3 linked regions of the Macaca mulatta genome follow. The main gene of each other region encodes a partner of the protein of the gene in region 2 in a complex. Links are inferred from orthologs where the notes say so. Each region holds a gene or a part of one and is shown on either strand. Other genes may lie near its edges. The genes, in order: CUL3, KLHL3 and WNK3.

Region 1 (9,255 bases), on a different chromosome or scaffold from region 2:
CCGAGTAGCTGGGATTATAGGCATGTGCCACTATGCCCGGCTAATTTTGTATTTTTAGAAGAGACAGTTTCTCCATGTTGGTCAGGCTGGTCTCAAACTCCCGACCTCAGGTGATCTGCCCACCTCGGCCTCCCAAAGTGCTGGGATTATAGGCGTGAGCCACCACACCCAGTGGCTTGCACTTTTAATTAGCTCAAGGGAAGTCTGGAGAATATGGAGGCCTTATTACAAACTTGGATAATACTAATTTTGGTGGAAAAAAAAAAAGTAAGGACTCTTAGGAGTATTGCGTAAGAGTCTGTAGGCAAGCTTAAGAGGAGAATCTTTAAAATGCGATGAACACAGTATGTATACAGACTTTCTTGCTCTGAGGGGTACCCTCCTCAGCACCCTCTCCCCCATCAGATGTAGAAGTTGCAATAGATTTGTGACAGTCTATTCTATAGTTACATACACACATTGGTTGCCTAATGCTAGAGTTGCACTGGAACAAATGCAAATTCTGTCCTTTTCCTCACTTCTTTGGGTAAGTTTCCTCAGTCGCTTTCAGTCTACAATTCCATTCCATTAGAAAAATCATTCTATTTTTTAAATACAGAAGATAGCATTATATAGAAAATAAAAACGTTAATTCTGTAGGTATTGATATCTGACATCAGTTGTATAAATTAGAAATACTTCAACTATACCATATACCAATATGCATAGCTGATATTACCAATTTTTTCTTGTGAAGGATGTATTTTTACAAGATCAAATTCTCCAAAAACATTTTCTAATAAAACAGTGCAAACTTTCACCAAAATATGTGCCAAGAAAATCTACCTTCAGATTCAAATTCAATTTACAAGGTTCTGTGCAGTCCCCCAAAACAGCCAGTAATTGGGGACACACGCTTTTAAAAGCACAGGTTTTGGAATTAAGAGAACTGGGTCTAAATTCCTGCACCCCATTAACTATCAGTGGGATTTCATAAAAGTTTTTATGTCACTAAGCCTGAGTTTTTTCATAGGATCTCCACAGGACCAAAGGATCTAATACTGGTAAAGTTCTTATCGCGGTGATGCTATGCAAGAAGGCTTAGAAGTCAGCATTTAACACTATATGCCAGCTGGGCATGGTGGCTCATGCCTGTTATCCTAGCGCTTTGGCAGGCTGAGGCAGGAGGATTACTTGAGCCTAGCGGTTTGATGGCAGCCTAGGCAACACAGCAAGACCTTGTCTCTGCCTAAAAGACAAAAAAAAAAAAAAAAAAAAAAAAGCTTTCATAGTGGCATGCACCCGTGCTCCCAACTACGTGAGAGGCTGGGGTGGGAGGATTGCTTGAGGCCAGGAGGTTGAGGGTGTAGTGAGCCACGATCATGCCAGTGTACTCCAGGCTGGGCGACAGAGCAGGATGCTGTACACACACACACACACACACACTCTCTCTCTCTCTGCAACCACCCAAGAGCTGGTCTGTATTTTCCACGTTTTATCTAAAAGTATCAAATAACTTCTATTTATAACAGTATCACACTATGTCATAGCCCCAATAGTGCAGTACAAATTTTAATTTGTGAAGTTCAATTATTTTAAGATTTTCTTTCAAGACACTTACTGATCATTTAGCACATTCAAATGAGGTTTACTGAGTGCCTACACCCACTACATACCAGACATCATGCTGAGGCATTTATTCAAGAATCACAACTGCAGAAAGAATTCTGAGACTGAGAATTTTAATTTTCCCACATTGCAATAAATCTTATATGCAATAAAGTTTATTAGTTGAACTGTCCTGTTATTAAAATCTTGGAATTTGACAATTTCATTGTTACTAAAAAATACACAAGTATACTTTGAGCTCCTCATGTATAATTTTAAAGCTATTTTTGCATGGCTCACTCGAGGTCAACTTAGACCCTAAAACTTAGGATCAACTTACTTACATGACGCACTTACAAATTTGCCATTTCTAAAATTAAATGCACGGGTTTCAAGACACCCTAGTTGTTTTTCTCCTGAGCGCGTAATGGCCAATCTCTGTATCATTACCTGTTAAATTTATCTGACATTCTTACATCTCCTCTTCCCTCTAGCTAATTTGACATAGGAAAGGCACACAAAGGAAAACATTTTGTAAATTTGTAGATTTGAATTTAAGGTACACACCTACCTGTGGTCCCCACTTAAGTATGTAAAACTTTCTCTAAGATTGCAGGAGACAAAACGCCTATTTTCTTTTCAATGGACACATTCCAGAAGGGCAGCCATCACCTTCCCTGTTTTCCTTCCTACCAAAAGTTGGTATCAGCAAATAACATAAAGCTAACAAAATTATGCAAAATTCCATATTGCAATGCTTCATGTATTAGTTTGTCACATTACTATTCATGAGAACGAGGTACAAAATAAATGGAAAATTTTTAATATGGAAAATCGTGTCAATTTGTAACATGGAATATGGATAGGATTAAACCTAGGTCTAACTCGTGGCTCTGCCATTTCCTACTAGCAATGCTGGACAACACTGGTATAATGACGGTTCTCTCACATAAAGCCAATATGACAACTAAATGAATGTACATAAAATATTCAGAATAGTATCTGGCATATGATAAGCACTTAAATGTTACTAACATTTCTAATTATTTCTGCTTTGAGGACTAGAAATGACTTCTAATTTTGCTGACCTGCAATGTTTTAACATTTGCATTTATAGAATGCAAAATACTATGCAACATATAGTAAAATACATGACCTACAATCGATATGTAACAGCTTTCCTTCCAAGATTGACACAATATACCACATACTTTATAAAAAATTATGCTATAAAAGTCATGTCTTAAGTTACAGTAGACAAAGATAAAAATCCTTTATTATGGAAAATGAGTTAAACTGTAAACATTAATACTGCTTTCCAAACTGAGGAATTAAATAATTTAGAAGCCTAAGATGATGCTAGTGTACTAGTCTTCTAGAGATGTAGCCATCTTAAAATCAGTTCTAAGCCTTTCCTGCTACCCAACATACCCAGTGAACAACACATCAACAGTGCTTCACTATGAGAAGGATTCTTACTGAGAAGCTATATCATCATCATCTTGGGGGTTTGATAGCACATAATTACAATGCTACACAGGTGACTTAACATATCCTTTAGAAAGGCATGCATCCCTTCCACCATTCCCTTTTAAACCTTGCATCACAACCACTTTTTTGTGAGGTTGTGCATTCTCTAATTGCAATGAATTTTCAGTCTTTAAATAATGTAACGATTGAAAATAAACACTGTCCTGGACTTGATAATGAAGGCAGAGAATTACACTTTAACAATTACTGAAGAGATGACATCATTTTTGCAGTTGAAAAACTATGTACCCATCCTCCTCAGAACTCTTTTAATAAATCACCAAAATTTCTCCGTATCAACAGGACAGAATGGTTAGGATGCATTTTTCTTTCAAATTAAAGCATTAAAAACTGAGAAAAAAAATAGCATCTGTGACCTCTTGCTAAAAAGAAAGCAGTGTTAAAGTGTATTTTGTTATAACCTTTATGACCTAAAATAATACTTATGAAGTCAAACATATAAACGTTTTGTGTGACCAATTTTTTCAGTGCAGCATCACATCGTCAGCATTCTCCAACCATTCAACTCAACTGCAATTCAGAAATGTTTTAATATATTTAGAAGCATAAACATCAAACCTGTGCTCCGAAATTAACAAGTATGTCTCTAAACTCTAGATCTGATTTTTACAGCCACACTTGAGACAATGATGTAAACTTAAACTTTGCTTTTAATGGCTTAAACTAGCACTAAAATGTTTAATGTCTCTGGAGATTTCAAATGTAGTTTTTTCATCATTCATGTTTACTAACTCGACAATCTGAGCTGTCCTGTTTTCCCAGGTGTTAAGTATCATTTAATTGGGAAATGAAAGCAGTAATAAAATTCTCAAACCTGAAATATCACATTACTTTCCTATAAACACCTTCCCATTATAGAAAATTTCCAATTATGTCAAAATCAGAAGGTGAAACCCTTAGCTTTCCATGTTACACCTGACCTAGTACTGTTCAAGTGTGGTACAAGTGTCCCGAGAACAATGTTCACAATCTTTTTCATTGGCATCTTCATTGCATCATGTAGAAGTGGAAAATGCAGAGATAAAGAGCACAAGGCTTATAATTCTACAGTACAGATGGAGACAAAACTGCAATAAAAACATATTTGCAAGTCTAAAAGGAAAATTATAACCCAAGACGCATGGGGAAAAATATTTATGTGGAGTTTTTAATCCGTATTAGAATTCAGTTGTTTTAACTTGACCATAAATTTAAACAGAAACCATCTTCTGAGACATACATTCTAATAAATGTATCAACAGTACTGATAGTCAACGAAGGGTCAATTTAAACTTATTAGTAACATTTCATTTTTCTATCCAACAGAAATCTATAGTGGTTTGCCCCATTACATATCTGAAACATTGTCTTATGAAAACAAAATGAAAATTAAATAAAATTGAAGATAAAAATACTCTGGAAGCACAGGATATCTGACAAGAATCTTCAGCACAAAGCACATCTTTGAAAACGTGAAACGATGACTCTTTGGAGGACAATAGCTAAATATCCAAGAATCATCAGGTTTGAGAAATATTGCTTAATCACTTTCCAAAACACAGTTAGCTGCAAGAATTGAAGATTTCATTAAAACTATCAAGGTCATCATATTTATTGCATCTTTAGATTGCATTTTGAAACAGAAAATTAATAGTGCACCACAGCTTCACCAAAATATATATTTAGGGGCAGGGAGGATCTAAGATATTTATAAACAAAGTATAGACTGTATGTGCTTTTCAGAGGGGCTGAATTAAATATAACCAGCTGCCAACTTTGTGCTCTGACATACTTGAATTAGTGGGTTTGTGTATACTAAATTCATTTATTTTTGTCTACAATAAATGAAATAAAAACACCACCCTATACAATCCACTATTAGCAGTGAGTACAACAGCAAAAAAATTATTGTACAATTTATACATACTAAAATATTTTCTTTCTCTAGAAATAACTCAGAACAAAACCTAATCATTGTAAGACTTAATCTGGGGAATCTCAAATTACAATAGGGAAAAACCAAATCAGGATGTGTACTTGAGCCCAAAACAAAGGTTCCTGGTCATAAGGCTAGAAGATTAGTAAGTGCAAGTGGTAGAATACAGCATGCTCAAATTGTATGCTTGGGTCTTTGTATATTTATCAAACCTTTAAATTAAGTAAGACTAGCTAAAGAAATGTCTTCAGAGCAAGATAACTGGGAATTCTGCATTTCTTTTGCCATTTTTGTTACCCAACTTACACAATGCGCAAAGTGCTAAGCAACACTACAAAAACACATTTACATCAACACTGAAGACCTGGGGAAATGAAATCCAACAATTTTATTTTAATGAGCTGTATTTTCTAAATTTTTGTTTTATTTTCCTGTTTTCATACAGTAAAGAAAACAAAACGCAGCACATTCACATTTTCCCGAGGAACTGTAAAGATGATCTCTACAGGGATAAACGTTGTAAAGCCTGAAGCTCAATCAACTGTTGTTGAAAACTCTCAAAGGGAGTAAAGGCTTGATCTCAATGGTCTAGAACATGTACTGTAATTTAATAGAAGAGATGGTCGTCTTAATATTTAATGATTTAAAAGAACTTCCCAGTCCATGCGAAGAGTACAGTCCAAGAATAAATCAAATTTCTGAACGCATTTTATGCTACATATGTGTATACTTTGCGATCCTCAGGTGTTCGTGCCAAATATTCTCTCTCAATAAGTCCTTCAATACGTTTCTTAATAACAACTGGACTTGGTAAGAATCGAGCCTTCAACTGCTGAGTTACCTAAAAAAGAAAGTAGACAGCATTTTTATATAAACACATAGAAATTCCTATCTTTCAACAGAACTGATATGTCATTTTAACACTGAGAGATTGAACTTTACTAACTGGATTAACAAAGCTAAAAGCACAGAAACTTTAAAAAGGTTCTGTCTGAAAATGTAATGTATGGTTACAACACACTTCCTCAAATCAGAGTGTGAATGCTAAGGACAGCAGTTGAATAGATGAATTAGTTGGAATTATGTTAGTGTGAGTATATGTCACCTATAGTTTAACCTTTTGATGCTGTTATCTACTGACTTCTGGGTTACACTCAAAACTTACAGAACTTGGGTAGCCTATGTATTTAAGAACACAAACTCTGGACTCACAGTACCTGGATAAACTCAGCTCCACCACTACTAGCTCTGGGACCTTGGCCCACTGGCGTGTACACTCAATGTGTTAACAGACATAATGCCTTAGAATAATAATGCCCAATCAAAAGTGCTTCTGTTGTTCCAAGTACTATCAGATTCTAAGTACTGTGCTACATATAATAATAAAACAGTAACTAAAGTAGCAGTCACAGTCTGTCTATGCATCAGTCATTTTGCATGTATGAGTTTATGGTTTGGTTTTTTTTTTTGAGACGGAGTCTTGCTCTGTCGCCCAGGCTGGTGCAGTGGCGTGATCTCCGCTCACTGCAAGCTCCGCCTCCCGGGTTCCCACCATTCTCCTGCCTCAGCCTCCCGAGTAGCTGGGACTACAGGCGCCCACCACCACGCCCGGCTAATTTTTTGTATTTTTAGTAGAGACAGGGTTTCACCGTGTTTGCTAGGATGGTCTTGATCTTCTGACCTCGTGATCTGCCTGCCTCTGCCTCCCAAAGTGTTGGGATTACAGGCGTGAGCCACCATGCCCGGCCTATTTAATTAATGTTCTTAACCCTGCAAAGTTGTCTCATTTTACAAATGAGGAAAATATGCCAGAGAAGAAAACTGACATCAACAAGTAGTAAATAACAGAGCCAGCAGAGATGAATCTAAACCTTTCTGACTTCAAAGTCCATGTTCTTTGCTCAAATCCATCCGTGAGCCAGCTTTGCTTCTACTCTTGTTGATCAGCTCATTTCCCAAAGCCATAATGGATTGATAATTCTTTGAAATCTGAAAATTCAGCACTTCACTCTGCAACTACAATCTATCATCCTTCCAGGATTACCACTCCAGTATCTACAAACTTGCTCTCAACCCACCACCTGAGACCTCCCACCCTTTGCCCTTCTTTTCTTCCAGCCTATTAACAGCTCCTATAGACTTGCTCTCTCCCCTGTAACAGAGCCTAAACTGCATTCAAGATCACTTCAGCTGCACTCTCAACAGGACCTTCTACTCCTGATTCTTTTGGTTCTATCTCATAAACACTATTTGATTAAACCTATATTCTATATATATCATTATCAACCTACCACAGAGCTCTTTGCTGAGTAAAGATGTAGTTGTTACACCACTTGTGTACACCAGGAATCAGTAAACTGCAGTCACAGGCCAAATACACCCCACTATCTGTTTCTGTAAAATTTTACTGAAACACAGTCATATGTATTTATTTTTATTAATTTTTTTTGAGATGGAGTCTCGCTGTCGCCCAGGCTGGAGTACAATGGCACAATCTCGGCTCACTGCAACCTCTGCCTCCCGGGTTCAAGCAATTCTCCTACCTCAGTCTCCCGAGTAGTTGCAATTACAGGCACCCACCACCACGCCCGGCTGATTTTTGTATTTTTAGTAGAGACGGGATTTCGCCATGTTGGTCAGGCTGGTCTTGAACCCCTGACCTCAGGTGATCTGCCTGCCTCGGCCTCCCAAAGTGCTGGGATTGCAGGCATGAGCCACTGTGAGTCACATGCATTTATGTATTATCTATGCTACAATTGGCCATTTACAAAAACATCTGCCAATCTCTGGTGTAGACTGGTAACACAAATTTATAGTATTCAAAAGTTCAGCAAGTTCCTGAGCACCATTCTTTGACAAGTATTATTTCAAATTTTTGACAATCCCCTTAAACTCCTCAACCCAGTCCTGCACCAAGCTCATATCAGGTTTTACATAGAGAAAATAAGCCATTTCAATTTGAAGTTCTTCAAATTCCCACCCTACACATGTACATTCATCCATACTTACACTAAACCTTGCTTAGCACATACCCCTGCACCCTGCCCTGGGTTCTCAGGAAGAGGCATGTTCAGTAACATCTGTGTCAGTACACTACCATCATCATACTCCCTATACAATCCTCACGTTTCCTTTTCTAGAATGTGGTATTGATCCCTTCATCTCATTTCTTTCCATTTGTTTTTAAGGATCCCTTCCTTATTCTTAGGATATAAACATCCTCAGTATCCTCCCATTGTGGGGGGAAAAAAGCCCAAACCCTTCAACTCTACACTGAATCCTCTAATACTGCTCTCTCTGCCCTTTCCCTTGAGCCAATACTTCAAAGAATAAGCCACTCTTGGTAGTTTCCACCTCCATTTCCCTCTCAAGGAACTACCACTGGATATACACTTTCACGAGTCCAATGAAAATGTCTGAGAAAGTTAACCTGTCACATAATTGCTAAAGTAAGTGTTTATTCAACTTGGTTTTTCCATGATTTTTGATATTACTGACCACTCACTCCTTGTAATTCTCTTCCCTTGTGCTAGGGCACTGACATTTTGTTTTCTTTTCCTCCTGAAGCAGTGTTCTCAAATTTGAAAAAACATCAGAATCACCTACAGTTCGTGTTAAAAAACCAGACTGTTGGGCCCTATCCCCAGAGTTTCTGATTCAATTCTCAGGCTCTGGTGGAATCTAAGAATCTGTGTTTCTCATGAGTTCCCAGGTGATGCTGAGGTAGCTGCTCCAAGAACCACAGTGTGAAAACCAGTGCTCTAAAGAGTTTCTGTTAGTTGTTACACTCACCGTTCCTAAAATGATGAGGGAGGGGTCTATCCCATAGTTCTTTCTTGCTCTATATGCCAACACTGAGCAATTTAATCCACACCTGTGGTTTTAACTGCATTCTCATATAGCTAATTCCCAATGCAACTTCTAGCCCTCGTGTCTATTGTCTTCCACCTGCCCCTGGATGTGCCAATATACAATAAAGTCAACTTGTACAAAACAATATTAAGTGACATCTGGACCACAGCGGCACATTACATTACCCTTGTCTTTTTGGTTACAGAAACCAATCTCTATCTACTCATTCAAGCCAGAAACCTAAAAGGTGTCTTCAACTTCTCCCTCTCACTTCCTGTTATCAATCAGTAAGCCTGTCAATTCTACTTCCCAATTATCTTGATTCAGCTTTCTACCCTCTACCAACACTT
Region 2 (10,354 bases):
GGAGTGCAGCGTCATGATCTTGGCTTACTGCAACCGCCGCCTCCTGGCTTCAAGTGATTCTCTCACTTCAGCCTTCCAAGTAGCTGGGATTACAGGCACACACCACCATGCTTGGCAAATATTTGCATTTTTAATAGAGACGGGTTTCACCATGTTGGCCAGGCTGGTCTTGAACTCCTGACCTCAGGTGATCCACCCACCTTGGCTTCCCAAAGTACTGGGATTACAGGCATGAGCCACCACGCCCGGCCACTTGCACAGTTTTTGGCTCTTTTGGGGTCAGTTCTTATGAGCTTGGGGAGTTAAAGCTGATTCAAGTATTTACTTGAGTCAGACAAAATTAGAAAAGCAAGTAGGAAAGAAATCCAGTGAATCCCATGACTGCCAAATATCTAAAGTATCTTCGGTGGTGACTTTTCCTGTGTCTGTCTTGCTCCTCCATTGTCATCCATCAACTTGAGCAGTCATGCGCCTGACCTGACCTTGATGTCTCGGTTTCCTGTGCCTCAGGTGTGGTGTTCATGGCTGGCCACGTGTATGCCGTGGGAGGGTTTAATGGCTCACTGCGGGTGCGGACAGTGGATGTGTATGACGGCGTGAAGGACCAGTGGACATCCATTGCCAGCATGCAGGAGCGCCGGAGCACGCTGGGCGCAGCGGTGCTCAATGACTTGCTCTACGCGGTGGGAGGCTTTGATGGCAGTACTGGTAGGTTCAGGGTGTGTTCCCAACCCCTCCTAGCCTGGGACACACCCTCCATGAAACCCTGTTTTATTCAGCCAGTTCTGGACCAACTTTCTGTCCATTTGTAGCTACTGCCCCAGGGAGATACCACCCTTCTGCCTCATCCAGCTTTCAGGGGAAGAGCCAGGCCTTCTTGCACACAGAATATGTAACTGCCCATGTACTAGGCTTTCTAGGACTCAGAAGAGTCCCTTTCCTACTTTTCAGTGTCTGGGAACCTATTTACTCAGAAGATGAGACTTAGAAGGAGAGCATGCTTAGCTGGGGGGTGCCTCAGGCCTCCAGTTTGAATCCTCTGGGAGCTGAGTTCAGCACTTGAAAGAAACCTGGCTCAGGTCACGCAGTGGGCCAGGCTGCCCATTTTTTCTGTTGCCCTTTCTACTACTCCACTTGAAGCTTTGCCAGGCTTTTTCACCATAGGTGAGCCTTCTTGCCTCTGGACTCTATCTAGCTTCAAAATTTCAACCCGAAACCATTAGTTGACATAAACTCAGAGAGGTGATCTCATCTCTGCTCATGTTGCCAGGTAGGTGTCTCAGTAAACAGTAGCTCTGTTAAACTAATATGATATCCTTTGGCCCCCAGGGAGGGGAAAAGCAGTGTTTTTTTACTTCTCTGAATTTTTATTTGTGTCTTCACAATTTGGGGATTTTTCTCAGCCTTCTCTTTGCCTCACTCATATAATTCCAGGGCTTTAGCCCCTCTGGAGGCTGACTTTAGTGAGTGGGGCAGAGAACGAAAGGGTAGTGGTGCATTGTTTCTTTTGGAAATTACTTTTGGCTATAAGTAGAGAACCTGATTAAACTGTGCCTTAAAACATGAGGGATTTTGCTTTACTCATGAAACAAGAAGCCTAGAGGTTAGCAGTGGCTGAGTTGGTCCAGTGGCTCATGGACATTGAGACCCCATTCTTTAAGATTAGATTTTCTTGGCCTTTTTCTCATGATCATGAGATGGCTGTTATACCTCCAGCCAACACATTTGTGTTCCAGGGGAGAATGGTATCTATATCAGAAAAGCAAAGGCCGTTTCTAAAATCCCCATAGACTTCTGCTTAGGTCTCATTGACTTGGTCACCCCTAGCTGCGAGGGAGTCTTGGAAAGCAAGTGTTTAGCTTTCCACTGCTAAGATAGACGAAGCTGGGGGAAAGGGGATTGGAATAGGTGTTCAGTGAGGCTACCTCAAGTGACTACTTGGAATCAAAGTATCTCACTCTGCAGTTTTTATGATCTACGTTTGCCATGCATTTCAGACACACCCCCTGTCCTTTCACAGCCCACTCTCTGGGTCAAGTCTTAATAGTCCCCGCAGGTAGACACTGCAGATGTGTTTGAGGGAGTCGCCACAGGCCACATGGTGATTCAGAGGTGGCACCGAGCCATACATTTAGGTTTCCAGCCCCTGCATTTGGACTCCTCCCCCATCCTCACTGCTTCTTACACAGCAGGGTGAGGCCTGGTGCCATGGAAGTCTCATGAGTCTCTTGTCTCCCAGGCCTAGCATCGGTGGAAGCCTACAGCTACAAGACCAACGAGTGGTTCTTTGTGGCCCCGATGAACACGCGGCGGAGCAGTGTGGGTGTGGGCGTTGTGGAGGGTAAGGAGGTGCAGTGGCCGGTGGCCAGGCCTATCCGGCCCACAGGCCTTGTCCTGGGTCCAGCATCCTGCTTGGTGCTTCCTCTACCTTGGTTTATTCCTGAGATCACTCCTCTGAGTTAGGTACTATTATCCTGATTCAGCAGACGAGACTCAGAGAGGTGGTGGAGCTCCTGGCCCGTGGTGGAGCTGGGCTGGGGGAGTAGAAGGAGCCCAGAGGGGAAATGCCGGCCTGTGGTTTGGCCCCTTGTCAATAGCTCTGCTGGAGGTTGGGGAGGGGAAGGGAGTAGGGAATCTATAGTCAGCATGTGACCCAGGAGGATAATGTAGTGGAGGGAGAATTAAATGTGTTTAATGAATTTTGTCCTCATATTCATATGTTGAACATTAACAGAACTGTGGGTGAGGTAGGCACGCCTTCTTAGGTCTGATGACTGTCTCTGCAGGGCAGGCTGGTGATCGAGTCCAGCTCTAGTCAGGAAAGCTGTGTAGGGTAAGGCAGGAGGGCGTGGTGAAGTCTCGGGCCTGGTCAGATGGTACACATTCGTTTGTTAAAAAAAAAAAAAAAACAAAACTCTCACGTCTAGTCTCTCGTTTTGTTTGCAAAACCCTTGTGAAAGAGATAGGCAGGACTCAGATTTTCTCCATCCTCCAGATGCCCCACATTCTAATGACAGTAAATAGCACAGCCTGTCCTTGAACCCAGGTCTTCTGACTCCTAAGCCGGTACTCTTTCCACTGTGCTATGCCCCTTCAGAATGCTGACAAATGCCAGTAGGTAGGAGTTCTGTAAATATGTGTGAATTCAGTGTACCAAAGCATAGACTATTACTTGAACTAAAATGTTATTTGCAGGACAACACTGATTCATCAACCTGTGCGAGTGTGAGAATTTAGATGGAATATCTGTTCATTCAGACATGTGTGCAGACATTCCATCTCTCATGTACATACTCAAGAATACACATGCAAACACAAATGTGTCCTGGGGACAGCGTAACATTCAGCGAGTTAGACATTCATAGAAATATTCTTTTCTCGCACTGTATTTCTCAGTCTGCACTGGTATTGTGTAATTTAAGTTTTCGTTTAAAGGTATACTATTCTAACATACTAAATAAGTCATCTTTGTGAGGGCAAGGATTTTGTCCTCCTTCCAAGGTGAATTGTGTCTTGCAATCTCATTCTCTTGGTGGAACAGAAATTGATTTGTCTGCCAAGTATAAGTGCTTTGTCTAGCCACCTTCTCATTTCTTCTCTTGTTCCTTAGCCAGGAATATCAAACAATAGAGTAGGGGTTAAAAATAGCAAATCCCTGTTAATAGACTGAAGGAGGAACCTTGAGTGTGTATTTTTTCAGCTGATGCAGATGGAATGGTTGATGGGGGTTAGAGGAGGTGCCATAATGGTGGTAATTTAAAATACTCCCCTTGACAAAAGCTTTTGTGAGCATGTTCTGTATGTGGAAGAAGTGCTGTCTTGTAGCACGCCCTGTTGACATGGAAGACAGGCTGGGAATTTGTTTCTTCTGCCCCTCCTGAATCTGAAGCTCTTTCGGCTGTGGGCACCCTGGGGCAGCAGAGTCCAATTTACAGCTGTGGTGAGAATGTTGAGGGAGGAACTTAAGTGGACTCTGCTTCACTGTGGCCTTGAAGAGACAGCTCTCTGCAGTGTCTGGCTTCCTCTCCTCCCTCTCATCATCTCATTACCATGGCTATACAGTTTGAATGACACTGAAAAAAAAAAATGGAGGAAATCGCAATAATTTGCTACTGGCTGCCTCGAAGAATAGCTATTTAGGAAAAGACTGTGTGGATCAGAGTACAGGCAGAGGCTCCCCAAGAGAATGGAGAGTGTGCTATGGAGATTGTCGCATCTGAAGCAGCACACACTGTACAAGTAGCCTGGACCATAGAAGGGCTGCTTAGTCAGGTTTTTAAAAAATTTTCACTCCGGTGCGTGCAGAACTGAGGGGAGGGTGTGTTTGTTTCTTCTAGATGGGTCAATTGAGAGGACCCTGGGGCAGAAAATAAAGCCAGGCTCGATGATGATAGAAGAAAAACATTTTTACATTTGATAATACAGCAGTAGTTCTGGTAGCAGAGTATAGGTTTGAGCCTGAGAATCTTTCTAACTTAAAATAATTGCGGATTTTCAAATACTAGTAGTATTCTTGGTGTCTATCCATCAAGAAAGCACATATGACCAAAAAATCTACCAAGTAATCCTGTTAAATGGATTTGCATTTGGCGATGTTTATTTAGTCTGCAACTAGTGTGACTCCTCCCTCTGTTCCCACAGAAGAGACCATCCCATTGCATTTTAAGACTAAATTTTAAACCCAAAATGTTTGAATTTCTGCTTTGGGATAGCTCAAATGCCAAATGTTTCCTCCTGCGTCCAGCCTCACTGTCAGCTCTCAGCCCCAGGCGGAAATGATACTCTTGGGTAGCAGCTTAATGGTATTTTAATTTAAAAGTAGATGACGGCACCTCAGGGCTCTTGTGTATGGCTCAGAGATCACAGGGTAGTCTGCAGAAAAATTCCAGCCACCCTGGCCCATGATGTACAAAGAACACTCCATTCACACACTGTACCTGCCAGGGTTGTGGAAGGGGTAGAGACAATGGCTAAGACAGGTTTTGGGTTCTCATTGAAGAAGATTTTTCCATATTTATTTCATCTGCTATTTCAAGCCTTGAGCCAGAAAGGTGGTCTGCCTGCGTATAGCTGGGGGCCTTCTAGCTTTCCATCTATCCAGTGCTGGTGTCTTGTTCTAGAGAAAATTTAACCTAATTCACCAGCAAGATTATGTTGAGTCCCAGTGGTGCCAGGCCATAGCTTTGGGCTGGGTATTTGGGGGTGCTTATTTAGAATGTTCAGTGTTTGCTTCTAAGGAGCTCATGGCTTAAGAGCAAGTAGAATATGTGAAGAAATGTGAAGGATGCTTTGCTTGGTTGAGGAGTAAGTTGGTGGTCCCCTGGAGAAAGAGGGAACAGAATTCTGAGGTAAGGGTGCCCCAGTTGGTTGCAGATAGGGTTTTAGCTGAGCTCTGGTTTCATGCCAGTGTCCCTGGCACCACACTCAGCCACTTTGTGTGTTGCAGGGAAGCTATATGCTGTTGGGGGTTATGATGGAGCTTCCCGCCAGTGTCTGAGCACTGTGGAGCAGTACAACCCAGCGACCAATGAGTGGACATATGTGGCGGACATGAGCACCCGTCGCAGTGGCGCAGGTATGGGAGAACCTCGGGATGCTGGCTGTGTCTGATTTGCTCACAAGTGGGTCTTTACATTTTTTTTTGTTTGTTTGTTTCATTTTAGATTCAGAGGGTACATGTGCAGGTTTGTTACATGGATATACTGCATAACAGTCGGGTTTGGGCTTCTAGTGTACCCATCACCCAAATAGTGACCATTGTACCTAATGGGTAATTTTTCAACCTTCACCCTCCTTCCAGCCTCATCCCTTTTGGAATCCCCAGTGTCTATTGTTCTCATCTTTATGTCCATGTATACCCATTATTTAGCCTGTACATGTAAGTGAGAAGATACGGTATTTGATTTTCTGTTTCTGGGTTATCTCACTTAGGATTATGGCTTCCAGCTCCATCCATGTTGCTGCAAAGGACATAATTTCACCCTTTATTTGGCTGCATAAGATTCCATGGTGTATACATACTGTATTTTCTTTAATCAGCCATTGATGGATACTTAGATTGGTTATATGACTTTGCTGTTGTCAATAGTGCTGCTTTAAATGTAACGACTGTACATGTCTTTTTAGTATAATGATTTCTTTTTCTTTGCATAGATACCCAGTAGTGGGATTGCTGGGTCAAATGGTAGTTATATTTTGAGTTCTTTGGGAAATCCCCATACTGTTTTTCCATAGAGGTTGTATTAATTTATATTTCCACAACAGTGTATAAGCATACCCTTTTCTCTGCAACCATGCTAATGTCTTTTTTTTTTTTTTTTTTTTTTGAGATAGAGTCTCACTCTGTTGCCCAGGCTGGAGTGCAGTGGCGCCATCTTGGCTCACTGCAAGATCCGCCTCCCTGCAAACTCCGCCTCCTGGGTTCACGCCATTCTTCTGCCTCAGCCTCCTGAGTAGCAGGGACTACAGGCACCCACCACCATGCCCAGCTAATTTTTTGTATTTGTAGTGGAGATGGGGTTTCACTGTGTTAGCCAGGATGGTCTCGATCTCCTGACCTCGTGATCCATCTGCCTCAGCCTCCCAAAGTGCTGGGATTGCAGGTGTGAGCCACTGCACCCGGCCTTTTTTGACTTTTTAATAATAGCCATCTGACAAGTATAAGATGATATCTCATTGTGGCTTTAATCTTCCTTTTTCTGATGATAATCATCAGATGTTAAGCAGTTTTTCATATGATTATTGGCCACTGGAGTGCCTTATTTTGAGAAATGTCTGTATGTATATCCTTTGCCTGCTTATTAATGGGGTTGTTTTTTCCTTGTTGAGTTGTTGGAGTTCCTTGTATATTCTGGACATTAGTCCTTTGTTGGGGGCATAATTTGCAAATATTTTCTCCCATTCTGTAGGTTGACTGTTTACTCTGTTGATCATTTCTTATGCTGTGCAGAAGCCTTTTTGTTTGTTTGTTTAATTAAATTCCATTTGTCTATTTTTGTTTTTGTTGCACTTGCTGTTGGCATCTTAGTCATAAATTCTTTGCCTAGGCCAATGCCCTGAAGAGTTTTTCCTAGGTTTTCTTCTAGGACTTTTATAGTTTCAGGTCTTACATTTAAGTCTTTAATCCATCTTCAGTTAATTTTTGTATATGGTAAGAGACAGAGGTCTAGTTTCATTCTTGTGTATGTGACTAGCCACATACAGCACCATTTATTGAATAGAGTGTCTTTTCCCTATTGTTTTATTTTTGTCGACTTTTTTGAAGATCAGCTTGTTTTAAGTATGTGGCTTTGTTTCGGGGTTCTCTATTCTGTTCCATTGATCTCTGTGTCTATTTTTGTACCAGTACCATGCTGTTTTAGTTACTATAGCCTTGTAATATAATTTGAAGTCAGGTAATGTGATACTTCTGGCTTTGTTCTTTTTGGTTAAGATTGGCTTTGGCTATTCGGGCTCTTTTTTGGTTCTGTATAAACTTTAGGATTGTTTATTCTAATTCTATGAAGAATGATGTTGATAGTTTGGTAGGAATTGTGTTGAATCTGTAGATTCCTTCAGGGAATATGGTCATTTTAATGACATTGATTCTTCCAATACATGAGTATGGGATGTTTTCCATTTGTTTGTGTAATCTGTGATTTCTTTAGTCAGTCACAAGTGGGTATTGGTTCAACAACCTAACATTTTATTTTAACTCCTCCTTCTTTCGTTTTGCTGTATATAATCCCACTAGCACCTTTGCAGCTAGACACAGCACTTATAAGTTAACCTTTCCTGGGAGATCACTAGAGAATGGATGAGATAATAACGCTCCTCATCATCGCTTATGTTTCTATGAAGGTGTTTACATCTTTTGAAAGTGAAGGCTTACTATGTGCCAGGCACTGTCCTAACAAATACTTTTTATGCCTCAATCCATTTAATCCTCACTACAGCCCTACAATGTGGATACAATATGAATTCCACTTATCAGATTTAGAAAGGAAGGCTGCCAGTGGTTGAGTAATTTGCCCAAGGTCATATAATTAGTAATGCTGACTCCAGAGTTAGTTTTTTAAATCCCTAAATTATCAGTCTTATTCCTCTGAAGTAGTAGGACAAGTCTTCAGTTGACAAAGCTGAGCTTGCCTGTCTGGGATTGAAAGCCAAGCTATTAGTGTTCATGTTTGGAGATAACTTATGTCCCCTGCTCCCACTTTTCCTCACTTCAATGCATTCCCCAACATGGGAAGAAAATGAGTTTCCAAAAGGTTTCTACTTCTACTTCTTGTCAGAAAACCAGAAGCTCTATGGTCCTTTGGGATTTTTCAGGAAGCGGAGCAACAACCCCTTCTCCCCTGCTTTGTCTTCCCATCCATTGTCTTAGAGGCCCAAAGGGAAGGGTCTGAGGGCAGACAGAGGCATCAGTCCACTGGTTCTTTATTGCTGGTTCCTGTGGTCAGTGGTGACTGATTACCAATCTGATCCTGGCGGGAAGGCTGTGTGACTTCTGAGAAGGGTAGCCACATTCCCACAATGTTATTCCTTTCTCTCTCTCTCTCTTTTTTTTTGTGTATTTTTGGAGATTGAGTTGTGATCTCATTTTATAGTACCAAACATATGACCACTTCCTCAGCATTCTTTAAAAAGTATGCTATTTTAATATTTTTAAAGAGCCTTTGTGTGCTCACTGGTTTCAAAAATAAAATCTGCATGATGCCATTTAAGAAGTGTTTGTGTTTGGAGTGCTATTTTTAGGGAATTTTTGTCTCTGCTGATTCTGACAGGTTGGCCCTTCCTGAATGTGGAGCCATTGCCTGGAAGTCAGGAGGCCCGGGACTTGGTGCTGGGTCTGCTCTCATTTGCCATATGACCTTCCTTGGGCAAATCCCTTCCCTTATTCTGGCCTCTAATTCCTTATATGTGAAATGAGTGGGTTGTAGGGTTGTAGTAGATGTTCCCTAAGAACCAAGTCAATCCACAAATCCCATGATTCTTTTCCTGTCGTAAACCTCTTTCGGAAATTTTGGTTTCTAAAGTTTTGGTAGAGTCTTCTTCGTACTCCCTAGAAATCCTCTGTTGTGACGTAAGGGGTGAGAGCTCAGCATGCCTGGGGCAGCACACCCTGAGATGCGTGACCGCTCCTAGGGCCGAAAGCCTGGGGAGGCAGCCGGGCGTGAAGCCGCCAGGGCAGACCTGCGTTAGGAAGCTCAGGCTTGTCTCTGTGGAGGGAGCCGCCTTTGGAGACTACAGCTGCTTTGTCTCTGCCAAGCTGCTGAAATGGTTATTGCTGGGTGGACATCACCTGGCCCTATTCCTGTCTCTTACCTACACTGGAGGACCTGGAGGGTGACACGTCTGTTGCCTGGGAGTGCAGTGTCCCTGGGAGGCACACTGACCTTGATTTAGGAAATCAAAACCAAGCCTTTTTCCTGAGGTTACTGTCAGAGCCCTGGCCTCCGACTCCCAGGTCAGCCTTTCTTCAGTGCTTCACTTTGGTGAGATTTGGGCAAGTCTCACCTCTGGAGTTGGGAACCCACATACTTATCAAGGTGGGTGTTCTTGTTGGCTGAAGACCCAGAGACCAGAGGCCCTGGCCTTTGGCTGCCTGAGGCCCTTTGAGGTGCCAGGAGCGCCTGTGGCTCTAGGTCCAGGACGCCGCTGCATGAATGTTTATGGATGAGGCTGCACTAGGGCAGAGGCAGAGTTGCCTGAGTGCCTGGAAGGCAGCTCGCTTCCTCAGCAGGGTGTGGGCAATGCTACCAGATGGTTAGGGGAAAAAGAGGCCCTCTCTCAGGGAATGCGTGTTCCTGCTGAGCATGGAGGAAAGGAAGGTGAGGCAGCTTTGGAACTCAACTAATTGTATTAAACCTGTCAGTTAGAGAGAGCCATTGTTGATACGACAGCGCCATCTGCTGTTAGTTTAGAGCAACTGCTGGGAGCCACTAGCATACCCACGTAATTGCTGGGAGGGATTTTATTAATTTATATTTTTGTCATTCAAGCAATATTTCTTGAGAACCTACTGCCGTGGGGCACAGGGAAGCAGACGAGGACAAGGTAAAAACAGTCCTCATCCATATGGAGTTATAGTTTACAAGTCTGGTTCTTGGGTCTGAAACCTGGCTGCACATCCCAGTCACCTGAGGAACTTTCTCTGACTCCTGACCAGTGTGGAATCTCTCTTGTAAAAAGCCTCCCAGTCCGTTGAGATGCAGCCTGCCCACGGAGTGGAGTAGTCTGTGGTCCATGGGAACTACTGATCTAGTACAACTCTTTCCCTTTACAAATAGGGAAACTGAGGCCCAGAAAGGGGAAGGGTCACCCAGTGAGCAAGTCAGAGAGGCAAGTCCGGAACACAGGTGTCCTAGCTACC
Region 3 (10,354 bases), on a different chromosome or scaffold from region 2:
TCAGGCAAATGCTAAATCCCATTCTTTGTGCTTTTATATATTTTTTTAATCTTCTAGATTAGTAGTAACCCTTCTCATGTTTCCCAAAGTATTTGTGGTTGTCTGTGCTAACTTTTCATATTAATTATTATAGAGGATTTATCTTTAAAGCACTCATTTAGATACAACAGTTATATCTGGGGCCCTTTTTGGTGGGGGAGTAGGAGGACAAGAAGAGGGGAGTGATTTTGTAGCCAGGATAGCCTGATGTTAACAAGAATTTTTAGAGCATGATTTTGAAGTAATTTTGATGTCCTTTATAAATTTCCGTATGCTTTCATAAAGTAATAAACTTGATTTCCTCATACTTCTCTGTAAATCTAAGTGCCTCGATAGCTTGTTTTTCTCTGTTTGTGTGTTTCAAGCATCTTTAACTGAGTCTCTTAAATAATATAGGCATAAATGAAAAATTTCATGATAATAGCTTGGAGTTTTAGTAACCTTTTTAGTAAACTGGCACATATGAAGGAAATTTTAATTTGATTTTCAGTTTTCAAAGTTTGTATAATGATGAAAAATATTCTGGGGTAGAAGATTAATATTCTCTTTTATTTACTAAAGTCTAAATAATATTTTTAAAGAAACAAGAAGGCTTAATTTTTGTAAATGGAGTACCTTGGGTTCAGTCTAATATGCTACTATTAATGCAACTAATACATAATACCCTATTTTGGGTTAAAGATCAGTCTGTACAAGAAATTCCAGTGTTATTTTTTTTAAAAAAAGCTTCACCTTACCTAAATTATTACCACTTTGGTTTTTCTCGGTTGTTTTGTTTTGTTTTGTTTTGTTTTGTTTTGTCTTGTCTCCATTAGGAGATGTCCTCAGATGCTTCACTTCCAGGGGATCCAGAGGCCTATCCTGCTGCTGTGTCAAGCGGTGGAGCCATTCATCTGCAGACAGGAGGTGGATATTTTGGCCTAAGCTTTACTTGTCCTAGTCTCAAAAATCCTATTAGCAAGAAATCCTGGACTCGCAAATTAAAAAGCTGGGCATACAGGCTACGGCAGTCAACCAGCTTTTTCAAGAGATCAAAAGTCCGTCAAGGTAGTGTGCTTACAGTCAGGGACATAGACTAGGTAACATCACTTTTCATTTACTTATTTTTTTGTTGTTCATATACAAATCTTGCCACTTTTTCCACGTAGCCCATGTATGTGACATGTCCCATTAATGTCATTGCCGTTTTATTTTTTCCTTTTGTAACTAATTTGGTTTTCCAGTTATTCATTTCATATAGATACTAAGTCTTGGGATAAATCTTGCAATGTCTGATTTAGACTTAGGGACTTATACGATGTTGCTTATTACATTAACACCTTTTAATTGTCTAGCAGGAGTTAAGCTTTTTCTACTTTTCTTCATTTTTGGTAATGTAAACAAATTTAGTCTTAACAAACAATTTTCTCTTTTCTACTTACAATTTGGCAAAACTTGCAGTGGAAACAGAAGAGATGAGATCAGCAATTGCTCCTGATCCCATTCCTCTGACACGGGAGTCTACAGCTGATACTAGGGCTTTGAATAGATGTAAAGCGATGAGTGGATCATTTCAGCGGGGTCGGTTCCAGGTTTGTGTCTTTGATTGAATCCTTATCTACAAGGGCATTATAAAACATAACAGCCACTGGAGATCTTGGTCTGTAGATGATACTTCCATTTTTGTTTTTTGTTTTTTTGTTTACTGAGATGGAGTTTCACTCTTGTTGCCCAAGTTGGAGTGCAATGGCATGATCTTAGCTCACTGCAACCTCCGTCTCCTTGGTTCAAGCGATTCTACTGCCTCAGCCTCCCGAGTAGCTGGGATTACAAGTGCACGCCACCACGCCTGGCTAATTTTTTGTATTTTTATTAGAAACGGGGTTTCACCTTGTTAGCCAGGCTGGTCTTGAACTCCTGACCTCAGGTGATCCACCCGCCTCGGCCTCCCAAAGTACTGAGATTATAGGCGTGAGCCACCATGCCCGGCTGATGATACTTACTTTAAATGTAGATCATTGTCATATTTAATTTGTTCATCTTCCATGCATCCCCTCACTTTTTGAAGCCATCAGTAAAGATGAGTCTACAGAAATGGATAGTAGCTGGTAGAGAGCACAGAAATAGTTTTTTTTTGGCAGGTGGGTGGGTCCTCTTTTATAAATGTAATTTCACGTCTTTTAGAATCTCAGCAACTCTAATTGTGGAATTTTATTTGAGCAATATGATGCCCACTCTCTTTACCCAAGGGGCCTGTTTGAAAGAGTGAATTTGAGGGTATAGATTAAATTTTTAAGTTTTGCTAGTATCAATACATATACATCACAGCAGACCATCTACTTGTCTGTGCTATGCTAACCACTTTTACATTTTTATATCTCAGGTGATTACAATTCCTCAGCAGTCAGCAAAAGTGACATCTTTTGGAATAGAACACATATCAGTGTTCAGTGAGACAAACCATTCTAGTGAAGAAGCCTTTATTGAAGCAGCAAAGTCTCAGTTGGTAGAAATAGAACCTGCCACACAAAATCCCAAAACTTCGTTTTCTTCTGAGAAGTTACAAGCTCTTCAGGAAACCTGTAAAGAAAATAAAGGAGTTCCCAAACAAGGTGACAACTTCTTATCTTTCAGTGCAGCTTGTGAGACTGATGTATCTTCAGTGACCCCAGAAAAGGAATTGGAAGAAACTTCAGCCACAGGAAGTAGCATGCAGTCTGGATCTGAACTGTTGCTTAAAGAGAGAGAGATATTGACTGCTGGGAAACAGCCTAGCTCTGATAGTGAATTTTCAGCCAGTCTTGCTGGCAGTGGAAAGTCAGTGGCAAAGACTGGTCCAGAGAGTGATCAGTGCTTACCACACCATGAAGAACAAGCTTATGCTCAAACACAGAGTTCACTCTTCTATTCACCATCTTCCCCAATGAGCAGTGATGATGAATCAGAAATAGAGGATGAGGACTTGAAGGTGGAGCTTCAAAGATTACGAGAAAAGTAAGGACTGTTTCTCTTTTGTCACAAATCTGGTTGCCCTGGATTTTATAGAACTTAGTATTTGATTGGTAACTAATTTAGGATTGTTGACATTTTAATGATTGAAAACTACAAAGAATGCTAATGCTAAACATTTATGAATGAGAAAAAGTTCTTATATATAAAATGTTTTCATAGTCTCAAGACTATTACAGTTGCTTATTTACCAATATGATTTAATTACTCCTTTTGTTAACCTTTACAGTCCTTATTCTTAAGGACTTTTGGTTTTAGATTTTACAACTATTCTTATATAATTTCACATTTGATAAGTAAACAGCTGATTTATTATAATCAGAGATAGTGGTTCATCTTCTTTAGGAAAAGGTAAGATACTTTCAAGATCAAGCTTATTATTTGGTGACTGAGGTAATCAACCTTCACTAGTGAGATTATGATAATATATTTTGTCAATAGAATGCTGTTTTGTATTTAGTTTTATAAAATAGGTCATTTTAAAAAAAGAAATTCAAGCCAGCTGGGCATGGTGGCTCATGCCTGTAATCTCAGCACTTTAGGAGGCAGAGGCAGGTGGATCACCTGAGGTCAGGAGTTCGAGACTGGCCTGGCCAACATTTTGAAACCTTGTCTCTACTTAAAAAAAAAAAAAAACCATACAAAAATTAGCCAGGCATAGTAGCAGATGCCTGTACTCCCAGCTACTTGGGAGGCTGAGGCAGGAGAATTGCTTGAGCCTGGGAGGTGGAGGTTGCAGTGAGCCCAGATTGTGCGCCACTGCACTCCAGCCTGGGTAACAGAGCAAGACTTTGTCTAAAAAAAAAAAAAAGAAAGAAAAAAAAGAAATTCATATTAAGTTGCTGAATTCTAATTCTATCCACATGGTTCAAAATTCAAAAGGTACAAAAGGGTAACCAGTAGTCTCCCTCCTAGCACTGCAGCTGAACTACCCAGGTTCTCTCCTTACACACAATAAATATTACCTGTTTCTTGTATATCCAGTTAGTCTATAACCGTACAAACAAATATGCATATTTCATTCTTTGTTCCCCCAAATAGTAACTTACACTGCAAGACTGTTCTTATATCTTGGTTTTCTTTACCATTTCATGGTATCTTGGATATATACCTGTATCATTATATTTTTGACTGTTTCAAAGTATTCCAGTATATGCATATACTCATAAGTTAATTACTAGCCTCCTATTGATGACCCCATGCCATTACTTTGAAAAGTTGAAACCAACTCTAGCAATTTTTTAATGTATCTTATGCTTTAGAGAATTCCTGCACTGTTATGGAACTTAATTTGTAAAGCAGAGAGAACCAGGGAGGACTAAAAATATAGGCATGTAAAAAGCTGGATTTGGCTGGGCGCAGTGGCTCATGTCTGTAATCCCAGCACTTTAGGAGGCCGACGTGGGTGGATCACCTGAGGTCAGGAGTTTGAGACCAGCCTAGCCAACATGGCAAAACCCCGTCTCTACTAAAAATACAAAAATTAGCCAGACGTGGTGGCGCCTGTAATCCCAGCGACTCAGGAGGCTGAGGCAGGGAGAACTACTTGAATCTTGGAGGCGGAGGTTGCAGTGAGCTGAGATCACACCACTGCACTCTAGCCTGGGTGACAGAGCGAGACTCCATCTCAAAAAATAAAATAAAAAGCTGGATTTTAGTCAAGTTCTTACAAGCTTGAATAATGCTCCATTTGGATGCTGTGTTTGAGTGCTTCAAGAATTAAAGCAGGTTAAAATCCTTGGAAATTTCTTAGTTTCTAAGGCCTTGCCTCGAGGAGGAAAAAAACCCAAAACTGTCATTCCAGTGATAGATAATTATAATATATTCTCTCTAACTTGTTTCAGTGTTTTTGACTTGAGCTTGCAAGAAAATTGTGAATATATACTTTAAATATTCATCACCAGAAGGCTGATATTCCACTTTAAAATATATATACAGGCTTGACATTACATTATGTATATGTCAACTTATATATTAAGTACTATACAGTATATGTACACTGATACTTTTTATAATAAAAGTTATTAAAGCAGTTTCATATTTGTGATGTAAGTATTCTATTGCTGGTTTTTTGTTTGTTTTTCTGTTTGTTTTTTGTTTTTTTTGTTTTTTTGAGACGGAGTTTTGCTCTGTCGCCCTGGCTGGAGTGCAGTGGCGCGATCTCAGCTCACTGCAAGCTCTGCCTCCTGGGTTCATGCCATTCTCCTGCCTCAGCCTCCTGAGTAGCTGGGACTACAGGCGCCCGCCACCATGCCCAGCTAATTTTTTGTATTTTTAGTAGAGATGGGGTTTCACCGTGTTAGCCAGGATGGTCTTAATCTCCTGGTCTCGTGACCCGCCTGCCTCGGCCTCCCAAAGTGCTGGGATTACAGGCATGAGCCATTGTGCCCGGCCTTCTATTGCTGTTTTTAATGGTTCTTTTAAACCATTGTCAAATGACTGGTAGCTTTTGTAGCTGGCTAGTTTTTTGTAACTGGCTGGTTGTGAATATGTGCTTAATTTTGAATGTGAGACATGAATTCTCATAACCTCATATAACACAACACCTGGAAAGGATCTTTTATTTTGAGACAGAGTCTTACTGTGTTGTCCAGGCTGGAGTGCAGTGGTGCAGTTGCGGATCATTGCAGCCTCTACCTCCTGGGCTCAAACCATCCTCCCACCTCAGCCTCCCAAGTGTCTGGGCCTACAGACATGTAACACATCCAGCTAATATTTAAATTTTTTTGTAGAGATGAGGTCTCCCTGTGTTGCCCAGGCTGGTCTCAGACTTCTAGCCTCAGGCCATCCTCCTGTCTCAGCCTCCCAGAGTGCTGGGATTACAGGCATGAGACACCACGCCTGGCCTAGAAGGGATCTTAAAAAATAATTTATTCTGCCTTCAGTGTTCTTTTAGCATTATGGTTTCTTCACCGATTTTTATTTATTCTTTCTTTTATTACTATTACAATTATTATTATTAAGACGAGGTCTTGCTCTTTCGCCCAGGCTGGAGTGCAGTGGTGCTGTCATGGCTCACTGAAGCCTCTACCTTTGGCTCAAGAGATCTACCTGCCTCAGCATCCCAAGATGCTTGTACTACAGGCACATGCCACCATACCTGGCTGATTTTTTTTTTTTTTTTTTTTTTTCCAGAGAGATAGGGTCTCACTATGTTGTCTAGGCTGGTATCAAACTCCTGGGCTCAAGCGATCCTCCTGCCTTAGCCTCCCACAGGCGTGAGCCACTGCGTCTGGCAAAAATGTTAATATTATTAATACTATTTGACTTTACATTTTGTTTTACTGACTTTCACTGTATTTCAGTTTTAGAAATTTGTTCATCTTTTTCTTCATGAGTGATTCTTATAGTTTAATGTTATGCTTAGGAAGGCATTTCCCGCTTCCCCTCTGGAAATTGTGAAAATACTCTGTGTTTCCCCCATTCTTTCCTCCCTCCCTCCCTTCCTTCCTTCCTCTTTGACAGGGTCTCTGTCACCCAGTCTGGAGTGCAGTGGTGTGATCTTGGCTCACTGCAGCCTTGAATTCCTGGGCTCAAGTGATCCTCCCACCTCAGCCTTTTGAGTAACTGGGACTACAGGCATGCACCACCATGCCCAGCTAATTTTTTTTTAATTTTTTTTTTAAGAGAGATAGGCTCTCCCTACGTTACCCAGGCTTGTCTCGAATTTCTAGCCTCAAACAATACTCCTGCCTTGGCTCCCCAAAGTGCTGGGATTATGGACGTAAGCCATTGTGCCCAGTCTCTATTTCCCCATTCTTAATCTAAATTCCTTGTTAAACTTTACTTATACTGGTGTAGAGTTTCTTGGCTCATCTTTATGGAGCCAGTGCCATTAAAATGCTTTTTGCATGATTTTCATTCAGACACATTCAGGAGGTGGTAAATCTTCAAACCCAGCAGAATAAGGAGCTGCAGGAGCTCTATGAACGCCTTCGGTCAATTAAAGATAGCAAAACCCAATCTACTGAGATTCCTTTGCCACCTGCATCACCACGTCGACCAAGATCTTTCAAAAGCAAACTTCGAAGCCGCCCCCAGTCCTTGACACATGTGGACAATGGCATAGTTGCTACAGGTAAATCGGTCATAAAAGTAATTTTTTAAAAATCTAAGATTTTAAAAATCCAAGATTAGCAAAATGAGAAAAATGATTATAATACAATTTATTTTTAATTAGGCTAAAATAATTTAAAGAAGTACACATTATTCTGAGATTATTTTCTGTTTTTGGTGTTAAATGTCCTTTTATGTAATAATGATTAGGATAATTGATAGACTGTAGAGAGAAGCTGAGTGTGCTTCATGCTTTTATTTGGAAAACCAGCAGCTGGAAGCCCAATGCCAATCCCCACAGTAATTTTTGAAATGTTATCAGTCAGTGGGAACTTCTGGTCTAGCATTTAGAGTTTGTTGGAGAGTTTGTTGGTAACAAGATAATCTTAAAAATACACTTGGCCGGGCACAGTGGCGCACGCCTGTAATCCTCACACTTTGGGAGGCTGAGGTGGGCCTATCGCCTGAGGTCAGGAGTTCAAGACCAGCCTAGCTAACATGGCGAAACCCCATCTCTACCTAAAATACAAAAATTAGCTGGGTGTGGTGGCAGGCGCCTGTAATCCCAACTACTCAGGAGGCTGAAGCGGGAGAATTGCTTGAACCCAGGAAGCGGAGGTTGCAGTGAGCCGAGATTGCGCCATTGCACTCCAGCCTGGGTGACAAGTGCGAAACCCCATCTAAAATACATATATATATATATTTTCTCTGGCCAGGCGCGGTGGCTCACACCTGTAATCCCAGCACTTTGGGACTGTAATCCCAGCACTTTGGGAGGCTCAGGCAAGTGGATCACCTGAGGTCAGGAGTTCGAGACTAGCCTGACCAACATGGTGAAACCCCATCTCTACTAAAAATACAAAATTAGCTGGGCGTGGTGGCTTGTTCCTATAATCCCAGCTACTTGGGAGGCTGAGACAGGAGAATCGCTTGAACCTGGGAGATAGAGGTTGCAGTGAGCCGAGATCATGCCATTGCACTCTAGCCTGTGCAACAAGAATGAAACTCCGTGTCAAAAAAAGAAATGTATACATGTATCTACACTCATGCTCTTATCTGAAGAGATCTTCATTTATTAGTTATAAGAATATTAGTAAAATATACTTCTTTGACTTTGAAAAGTAAGAGCATCAGTCTCTACTTAACTAATAAAGAAGTTGTTAATCAGGTCAGGCCTCTTTGGTTATATGTGCATAGTCAAGGTGGGGGTTAAGGATGTATTGTAAGGACATAAGTGAAATCCCAGCAGAACTTGTCGTAGGCAAAATAATTCCCCCACAAAACGTCCATGTGCAAATCCCTGAAACTTGTGACCATGGTAGGATATATGGCAAAGTCTCGAGAATTAAGCTTGCAGGTGGGATTAAAGTTGCTAATCTGCTGACTCTAAGATAGGGAGATTATCCTGGATTATCCAGGTAGGTCCAGTGTAATCACTAGGATCTTTAAAAGTAGAAGAGAAGAAACACAGAAGAGTCAGAGAAAAGGGAAACAGTGTCAGAAAGGTGCAACATTGCTGGCTTTGAAGATGGAGGAAGAGTGCCACAGACCAAGGAATGGAGGCAACTTCTGGAAGCTGGAAAGGCCAGGGAACAGACCTCTGCTTTAGCCTTCAGAAGGAACACAGCCCTGGCAACACCTTGATTTTAGGCCAGTGAGGACCGTGTTAGGCTTGTAACCTAGAGAACTATAAGATCAATCAATTTGTGTTGTTTGAAGCCACTAAGTTTTTGGCAATTAGTTACAACAACAATAGACAACTAATACAGAACCCAAGAACAGGAACTGTACTTGGATGATCTTGTAAAGACAGAATTAAAGGGTAGACTTAGATTGAAGGCACCTCTGGGGATTTAATAGCAGAAGTACATGAACCTTCAGTCTGATACAGTATCACTAATAGCTATACTTTATTTTATTCTGTTGCATTCCCAAATGGCTTCATTTTATGCATAATTTCTGCTTTCCCAAAACTGGTTGTTAGATAACATTGGTTACTCGTGATCCCAAAGCATTCTTTCACTTTCAGGTCCTTATTTAACTGACCTTTGTTAGATTCCAGGGACAGAAAATTTGACTGTCCCTGCTCATCTTTTTCATGCGAAGAAATGGGTCAGAGCCATTGCCTGGCCTATAGTTGGGCTGTTCTACAGTCAGGTGTCCACCTGTTTCTAAGTAAGCATGGCCAGAGAAGTACGATCTCATGGTAAAAACATGTCTCTGGAGACTGTCTTTGGGATTCCGCAACTTATTTTGTGTTATAATGGATGTACCACAGTTTGTTTATCCATTCACCAGTTGGAGGACATTTGGGTTGTTTGTAGTTTGGGGTTTTACAAATAAAGCTCCCGTAAATAGTCACATACAGCTTTCTGGGTGAACATAAGTTTTCAGATCACTTGGATGAAATACCCAGAAATGAGATTGCTGCATCATATGGTATGCATATTTTACATTTTTAAAAAACAAACCATTTTCCCAAGCAGCTGTATCATTTTACATTTTGTCAGCAATGTGCGAGACTTCCAGTTTTTCTGATGTTCTTCAGCACTTGGTGTTACTAGTATTCTTTTTTTTAGCCAATCGAATAGGTATTTGGTGATATAAAGTGGTTATTTTATTATAATTTTCATTCCCCTAATGGTTAGTGATGTTGAGCATTTTTTTCTTGTACTTATTTGTGTTCTGTGGTAAACTGTTTGTTCAAGTCTGTTGCTATTTTTTTGTATCCTGTTTTATTTTTAATTGAAATTTTCATTGAGATAATTGTCGATTTACATGCAGTTAAATAATACAGAGGAATCCTATGTACCTGTGTACCCTTCACTCAGTTTATCCCAGAGGCAACAATTTTTGTCATTTTAGAAAATTAGGTTGTTGGTTTTCATATGGTTGATTTTTGAGAGTTTTTTTCTATATTTTTGATAAAAATCCTTTGTAGGACATATGATTTACAAATATATTATTCGAGTCTGTAGCTTGTCTTTTCATTCTTTTTTTTTTTTTTGGAGACAAAGTCTTTCTCTGTTTTCCAGGCTGGAGTGCAGTGTTGCAATCTCGGCTCACTGTAAGCTCCGCCTCCCAGGTTCACGCCGTTCTCCTGCCTCAGTCTCCCAAGTAGCTGGGACTACAGGTGCCTGCCACTATGTCCGGCTAATTTTTTGTGTTTTTAGTAGAGAGGGGGTTTCACTGCGTTAGCCAGGATGGTCTTGATCTCCTGACCTCGTAATCCACCCACCTCGGCCTCCCAAAGTGCTGGGATTACAGGCAT

Evidence for each region.
Region 1: the proteins of KLHL3 (region 2) and CUL3 are in contact, whole or in part, in a crystal structure (PDB 4HXI), measured with the Homo sapiens proteins. The link is inferred for Macaca mulatta from reciprocal best matches to the Homo sapiens genes KLHL3 and CUL3. Residues at the interface, in NP_059111.2 of Homo sapiens: Pro73, Tyr74, Ala77, Met78, Asp82, Met83, Ser84, Glu85, Glu92, Ile93, Lys94, Asp95, Pro125, Ser128, Leu129, Gln131, Met133, Arg136, Asp160, Val161, His162, Thr163, Thr165; in NP_003581.1 of Homo sapiens: Ile44, Asn49, Ser50, Gly51, Leu52, Ser53, Phe54, Glu55, Leu57, Tyr58, Arg59, Tyr62, Thr63, Leu66, Lys68, Met118, Asp121, Ile122, Met124, Tyr125, Arg128, Val129, Gln133.
Region 3: the proteins of KLHL3 (region 2) and WNK3 are in contact, whole or in part, in a crystal structure (PDB 5NKP), measured with the Homo sapiens proteins. The link is inferred for Macaca mulatta from reciprocal best matches to the Homo sapiens genes KLHL3 and WNK3. Residues at the interface, in NP_059111.2 of Homo sapiens: Lys312, Arg339, Phe355, Gly357, Arg360, Thr386, Phe402, Gly404, Ser405, Gly407, Ser432, Ser433, Tyr449, Gly451, Arg454, Cys456, Ser481, His498, Arg528, Tyr577; in NP_065973.2 of Homo sapiens: Glu537, Cys538, Glu539, Glu540, Thr541, Glu542, Val543, Asp544, Gln545, His546.

The regions. Positions count from the first base shown.
Region 1 is NC_133417.1:129,718,302-129,727,556, forward strand, and holds the end of CUL3 (cullin-3), read right to left. Parts: intron 5,895-9,255; coding exon 5,763-5,894; 3' UTR 5,109-5,762; downstream 1-5,108. UniProt on the Homo sapiens protein: Core component of multiple cullin-RING-based BCR (BTB-CUL3-RBX1) E3 ubiquitin-protein ligase complexes which mediate the ubiquitination and subsequent proteasomal degradation of target proteins.
Region 2 is NC_133411.1:146,482,515-146,492,868, reverse strand, and holds part of KLHL3 (kelch-like protein 3), read left to right. Parts: intron 1-510; coding exon 511-708; intron 709-2,239; coding exon 2,240-2,341; intron 2,342-5,446; coding exon 5,447-5,575; intron 5,576-10,354. UniProt on the Homo sapiens protein: Substrate-specific adapter of a BCR (BTB-CUL3-RBX1) E3 ubiquitin ligase complex that acts as a regulator of ion transport in the distal nephron.
Region 3 is NC_133426.1:54,062,408-54,072,761, reverse strand, and holds part of WNK3 (serine/threonine-protein kinase WNK3), read left to right. Parts: intron 1-854; coding exon 855-1,086; intron 1,087-1,479; coding exon 1,480-1,610; intron 1,611-2,401; coding exon 2,402-3,012; intron 3,013-6,893; coding exon 6,894-7,105; intron 7,106-10,354.